Linked DNA regions of Kluyveromyces lactis. The protein of the gene in region 2 interacts with the protein of the main gene of each other region in a pairwise test. Links are inferred from orthologs where the notes say so. Each region holds a gene or a part of one and is shown on either strand. Other genes may lie near its edges. The genes, in order: HCR1 and RLI1.

Region 1 (3,055 bases), on a different chromosome or scaffold from region 2:
GAGCATATGCAACAAACCCACCACCAATTAAAGAACCACCAAGAACGCTTAAAATGGCGGACGAAAATCCACCGCCGTTATTACCGTTAGAAGACGAATAATGTCTTTTTGCAACGGCAGTGGTCCTAGAACGCAGAACGTCCTTACGTAGTTGCAGCGAACCACGCAAAGCAAAACCGGATCTTCCAACAAACCTGAACATTGAGTTGCGTTTCTGGTCTTTCTTGCACTTTGCGATAACAAGTACACAAAACAGCTGCTAAGTTACCAAGTTTCTCTACCAAGTTGTTACCTTATTATATAGTATATTGATATGCGGAATACAGACGGCGTTCGATTATACATATATATATATATATATATATAAGTACAAGTTCATAGCTGAGAAAAAAAAAAACAGTTCAAACGCGGAATAGGAACAATCATATACCGTCGACTCCACGACTTGGTTCATCCACCCTTGTTTTGATACATATCCGGCTTGCTCTCCTCTGGTCTTCTCTGGCTTTTCTTTGTTGCCGGATTTCCATGATGATTTTTCACTTCGTAGCGTGGGATGTAGCGTGGATCGGATCTTGTTGTACTGGTTTGAGGCAGCACTGGGCCAGTGGAGAGTCAAGAGCGCTCTCAGATTCGGTAGATGAGAGAGAGAAAGAGCGACCGGGCTAGCGAACAAGACTTGGGCAATATTAACAGTTCAATTGTTTACGTTCTATATATGATATGTGATGATGATATGTGATGAGATCTGTTTTTTTTTTCTATTACATGAAATCGTCTTCTCCGAAATCGTCAAAGTTATCGTTACCACCTAGGTCGAAATCGTTATCCTTCTTGAAGGCACCGCCGAGGTTAGCCCTAGTAGCCTTGGCCTTCTTCTTACCGGCACCGCCTGTGGCGGTGCCTCCCTTGACTTTGGCCAAACGAGCTTGTCTTTCTTCTCTTTCTTTATCCTTCATCAATACGTTCAATGTCGCAATGGTTTGTCTGATGTTTTCGACGGTCATTGGTTTGGAAATGTCTCTGATCAAGTCGATGGCTAGTCCACCAGAGTAGTTCAACAAGGATTTGTTGCTTGTCGAGGTGATTGCGGTAGCCAACGCTTTCCTTAATTCTTGGTAATCTTTTTTGGTTTCCAAATCCGAGAACAATGGGTGCGATTGGATTGGGGTATCCTTGGTCAACGCAGCAGGTTGGGCGACAGCTGCAAGCTGTTCTCTTTCACGTTCGGCGCGGGCTCTTGGATGTTCTTCTGCGACGCCAAGACCGCCGAAAAGGTCTGCAGCGTTGTTCAAATCAGATTCCAGTTCAGCCTTTCTCAATAGTTCTTTACGGGTCTTGTCGTCAAGAGTATCGATATCGAGCATGGTGTTCTTTGTAGCAGCTGGTGTAGCAGCTGGTGATGGAGAGGCTTTCTTTGGAGCCTTGGCTGCAGCTGCTGCTGCTGCCTTAGGCTTAGGTTTAGCAGTCTCCTCGTCCTCCCAGGACTCTAGTACCGGCTCATCGTCGTTTTCAGCGAACTCATCATCCCATGAATTCAACACTGGCTTCTCTTTGGAGCCACTTGGCACTGCAAAATCTTCGTCGTCCCAGGACATTGTTGATTGATAATTGATCTCGGTTAGGGTAGAGCTGCTGAAAGCAAGTGTTTATTGATTGTCCTCGTTACAAATTCTTGTCAAGATGCTTATGGGTGGCATTAAATTTCGATTTTTGGGTCTTTTGGGAGCTGTTACCCGGGGCAGTGGTCTTCCTTCCTCCGTCCCTCCCTTCTGCCGCAAAGACTGCTACGTCAAACCATCATATTGCATGTAGAACGAAAATACCCTGCTATAGACCACGATTTTTTGTCTATCCAGAGTTCCACTGGCACCATATAACATGTTAATGATCACTTCCCTTTTAATGGTACCCAATTGACGTATTCATATCCTGTTCTGCCCATTATGACGCTCCAAAATTAATTTATTTTTGATACCTATTTCTCAAAATTAAATAGTTACTTTTTCTGGCGTCACTCATGCACCAGGCTCCTCATCATCCCATACGACCTTCGGTCCCTTATCATCGATTCCTTGACCAACACACAATTAATGATCAACTCTCGATCCGAACCTTTTTTATATATACATGTCAGTATTGAAAACATAAAATGTGCATCCATTTAATAGTTGTTGGTCCAATCTAACCATTGTGATATAGGCTCGTGACAAGTGGACCTAATCTGGAATAGTTGTTTGGCAACGCAATAATAAAGAAAGTATCTTTGGGAGATTATTCAATATATCGGCATGGGTGAATATAGAGTAAGTACTGGAAGAGGAGGCGCAGGAAACATGATAACGTCGAACGAGAAACCTTCACCGAAGGTTGTGACACAGGGTTCCCAGACCCCCAATATACTATCGCCAATTTACTCTACGGGTCGCGGTGGTGCTGGTAATATGAGGAGGAATGTGGACCCGGTTATGACACGCACCGCACAGGATGTTGACGATGACGACGTGATAGACGTGACTTCTTCAAACAATACAGGAACCATCAAAAAGATCAAGTCGAGACGCTTCTCGGAACCTCCAAAGACCATATCGATCGGTAGAGGTGGTGCTGGGAACATACTAAGCCCTAAATCGTCAAGAAAGAAAAGGGATGAGAAGGGCTCTAAGAATTCCTCCACTGGAGACAACGGATCGAGTCACGTGGACGAAAAATCATCAAAGAGTGGGTTCTTCTCCAAATTGAAGAGTCTTTTCAAGTGAATCGCCACCGATCAGCTCTTCTCCTTCCTATCTTTTCATCCCTCACACTTGCATAATGAGACTATATAGTCCTCCTTCTTCTTCCCTTCTCCTTTTTTATTAACGTAACGAAATGAACTTTAAAAAGTAATCAAAAGATACTTCTTCTGTCTTCATGAACATTGGGACACAGACCCTGACAACTTGAAACAGATGTAATTGTACATATAATACTGCATAGCCTTTCTTCCCTCTATTTAATAAGGCATTTTTAATATATAAGTAATTCATAATATTGATTTTTATCTCTCAATCAA
Region 2 (3,992 bases):
ACCTTGGGATTGTATTGAATACCTTTGGGCCATTCATATTGGTAGCGCTTTCCGTGGCCTTATTAACTCTTTGGAAGCAACCGCCAAGTGTCTTACAACCACAAACAATTCTTGCAAGAATTGTTTCGAATTCCGGTACTTTGTTGATATATAACAGTGTTCTATGTTTGAGCAGTTTTGTTTGGGTGACGCATTTCAGAAGACACCTAATGGTGTGGAAAATATTCTGTCCTCGATTCCTATTTGCATCATTATGTTTGATAGTAAGTCAACTCGTTGTAACATTTATTACTATTGGTTTTGCAAGTTCTAGACTAATCAGGCAGATAAGTCAATTGTTTTCAAAATAAACCTTACTCGAAACCAATATAGTAGGAACTCTCTTAATGTATAAATAAATTTATTTATTTATTTATGCGAGATGGACACGGACGATTCGTATGTGTCGTTTTGAAGAGGCCTGTTTTATTTGATTTGCATTCAATATCTCGCGAAATTTTTGGTTGATAATTGGGAGAATAAATAATTTATAGATATTATACAGATGTATTAATTATTGTACAGTAACATTTATGCACAAAAATGGTATTGCCGAGGACTATGCCGTTCCAATCAATTGGAATTGATTCATGATTTGTAATATAACCTTAAAAACCAGCCAACAGATAAGAAATGATGAGAATTAGATAGGATGAATGATGAATAATGACAAAAAAATAAGCAAAAAAGACACATTAGAATGGATACCCGATCGCCATTAGTAAGGCGATTAAACACCATTGTGGTCTAAGAAGAAATAGTTACCAGATGACTTTTGTTCTTTATCCATTTGGGAGTCTAATTTATTGATTCTTGGTCTGAAAGAGGTTGGATCTCTTCTGAAGGTAACGTTCAAGTTCTTTAAGAATTTGTTACAACCAGTCAACAAACTTTCTGGAGCTCTAGCGAAAGCTTGCTTAGATGGGATACCATCGAACACGATGACTTTATCGGCCAAATATGTAGCCATGATAAAATCGTGCTCGACGATGAATGCAGTTTTCTTATTATGCAAGATGAAACGTCTGATAACTTTAGAACAAATGATACGTTGTTCAGAATCTAAGTAGGCAGATGGTTCATCAATCAAGTAAATGTCAGCATTCATACCCAAAGAAAGCACAATAGCCACTCTCTGTAATTCACCACCAGACAAATGCTGAACTTCTTGATCAATGATATCATCGATTTTCAAAGGCTTAACGACATCAGTTTGGAACTGTGGGTTCAAGAATTGTGCTCTAATTCTCTTAAAGAACAATTGACGCACAGTACCAGTGAACTTTGGAGCAATCTTCTGGGGCTTCATTGAAACGTTCAACTTAGGAATATCTTGACCATCATCAGCAGGAATAGCACCTGCAAGAAGTTTAATTAATGTTGTCTTACCAGTACCGTTTTCACCCATCATAACCAAGATTTGAGAATCGGAGAATTCACCTGCTTCAACGGTTAGAGAGAAATCACCTTGTGTACGTTTCATATCTGGGTAAGTGAATGCACGGCTTGCATCGGCTTCCAATTCATCACCAGCATCAGCCATACGGAATTGTAGCGCTTCAGTTCTGAAACGCAAATTTTCAGACGGAATGTGACCATCTAAGAATATATTAATACCTTCACGGACAGAAGATGGTAAAGTAACAACACCATAAACAGAAGGCACACCATAAATAATACAAACAAAATCCGACAAATAATCTAGCACCGATAAATCGTGCTCCACACAGATAACGTATGTGGTTGGATTCAATAGAGATCTGATAATTAAAGCAGCGTTCAAACGTTGCTTAACATCCAAATAAGAAGAAGGTTCATCGAACATATAAACATCTGCTTCCTGAACACAAGACATACCGATAGCAAATCTTTGCAATTCACCACCTGAAAGGGCAGAGACTTCTCTGTTCAAAACATTCTTTAACTGTAAGATATCGATATACCTCTTAGCATCATCTTTTGATTTCTCCAATCTCAATTTCAACAACTCGCCAACTTTTTGGACGGGGCCCTTAATGGCACGAGGAATGTTATCCACATATTGTGGCTTGATGATAGCTTTGATATCATCTTCCAACATCTTAGTGAAATAGTTCTGCAATTCAGAACCACGGAAATATTTAATGATCTCTTGCCATTCTGGAGGATCTTCGAAACGACCAAGGTTAGGCTTTTGCTTACCTGCCAAGATCTTCAATGCAGTAGACTTACCAATACCGTTGGTACCGACAAGACCCAAAACCTGACCCGGTCTTGGAGTGGGCAAACGATGCAACTTGAAAGAGTTTGCCGAATAACGATGTGTCACTTGAGAATCTAAATTCGTTGGCAAATTGATGATTTGAATAGCATCAAATGGACACTTTTTAACACAAATACCACAACCGATACACAAATTTTCAGAGATAAACGCAATCTTGGAAGTAGGCATCACTTCTATACATAACTTACCAGTCTTAACCACGGGACAAGATCTCTTACATTCCTGACGACATTTCTTTGGCTTACACTTATCCTCGCTGACAATAGCGATACGAGTATTTTTCGATGACATTTTTTTTGGTACTATGAGTTTGTTTTGTGTTTCTATGATTGAATTAAAATTCAGGTACTTCCCAGTATCCGTTCTCTATCAATAAAAATGTTGGGAGTTGGAGCGTAAAGATTCCGTAAATGTATATTGTTTATGCCCTTGCTAGTGGGAGACGCTGTAGTTTATAAACCTTCCTGATTCCTTGCTTTGCAATTGACCTAGGATAGATTAGGACAGATTAAAATATAAATTAGGATGGATTAAAATCAGATTAATAATATCCTTCTGTATCCGAAATAAATAGTTTTAAGAGTAGTCTTATATCAAACTCTTCTCACCAGCCTTGAAACCGTATTCTCTAGTCTGTGCTTCTAAAACAAAAAAAAACTCTTTAAAAAAACGAATACCACTACTAAAGAATCAGAACCTATTACTTATTGAGATACAAGTAATCAAATTATAAGTACAACTGAATTAAAGCAAACTAAAACAAGTGAAATAACTTTATATTTTAAAACCTTTACCATTGTTTTCATACAGATAAAGCTTGGAAATTGTTATTGTTCCATTCTCGTTTTCTCGATGAGATGAGCTTTGTGAAATTTTTCAGTGAAAAAAAAAAAAAAAATTTTTTTTGGTGATGAAAGGATTAGTTAATTATCGTTTAGAGTGATGTGATATGAATATATAAAGAAAGCCGGCTTGAGATCTTGTTTTCTCTTCTTTGGATATCACTTTTCGGGGAATCATTTTTCCGGAACTTGGGCGGTTAAATCATGTCGAAGAAGCAAGGGTAGATTTGGGCGGGAAAGTGCCACTATGGTGGGAATTTCCCTGGAGTTATGTCATTGTGGTTGATTCAGGGGTGTCTCTCCGGTGTGGGCTCGCGTTGCCCATTTTTCAATGGGCAACGCGATATAAGTGCTTGAGTTTGTTCCTCCCTTTTTGAGGTGCATCATTCATATGGAATTGCTCACCAAGTGTGTAAACGTTTGGTTACTGATACGATGAAAGGGGCCCGTACTCGATTAGTACGGGATATGCTCTCTATTGTCGACTTTTTGAAATCGCCAGCATTTGAAATATTCACGGAATTCATACTGTACTGTATTTTTTTCTGTTGAAATTGAAACTGCTGTTTTATCAACTGGAAACCTCCTCAATTGACCACCGTTTGACCGTTCATTATCCAACCTTATTCTTTCCTTCGGTCTGAACAAACCGAGTAGACACGCCATGTACGTGTTTATTCAGCGTTTGCCAAGTCTGTCTCCACTGACATATGTGCCGATCATCTTCTACTTCTTGCTACCTTGCCCCATCGATTGAGATGGATAGTAATGTAATCCCCGTCTTGGTTGTCACCTGTCAACGGTAATGTGATACATTACTTCCTAGTTACCCTCTTTCTCACCCTAGT

What was found.
Region 1: the proteins of RLI1 (region 2) and HCR1 interact in binary tests that used the Saccharomyces cerevisiae proteins (3 or more experiments, as listed by UniProt). The link is inferred for Kluyveromyces lactis from reciprocal best matches to the Saccharomyces cerevisiae genes RLI1 and HCR1.

Annotation. Positions count from the first base shown.
Region 1 is NC_006041.1:1,750,014-1,753,068, reverse strand, and holds HCR1 (translation initiation factor eIF3 core subunit j), read right to left. Parts: upstream 1,599-3,055; coding exon 765-1,598; downstream 1-764. Other genes in the region: DLD1 (D-lactate dehydrogenase), read right to left, coding at 1-202; PAR32 (Par32p), read left to right, coding at 2,292-2,759. UniProt on the Saccharomyces cerevisiae protein: Component of the eukaryotic translation initiation factor 3 (eIF-3) complex, which is involved in protein synthesis of a specialized repertoire of mRNAs and, together with other initiation factors, stimulates binding of mRNA and methionyl-tRNAi to the 40S ribosome.
Region 2 is NC_006039.1:1,543,635-1,547,626, forward strand, and holds RLI1 (Fe-S cluster-binding ribosome biosynthesis protein), read right to left. Parts: upstream 2,594-3,992; coding exon 770-2,593; downstream 1-769. Other genes in the region: mannose-ethanolamine phosphotransferase GPI13, read left to right, coding at 1-350. UniProt on the Saccharomyces cerevisiae protein: Component of the multifactor complex (MFC) involved in translation initiation. Required for the binding of MFC to the 40S ribosome. Required for the processing and nuclear export of the 60S and 40S ribosomal subunits.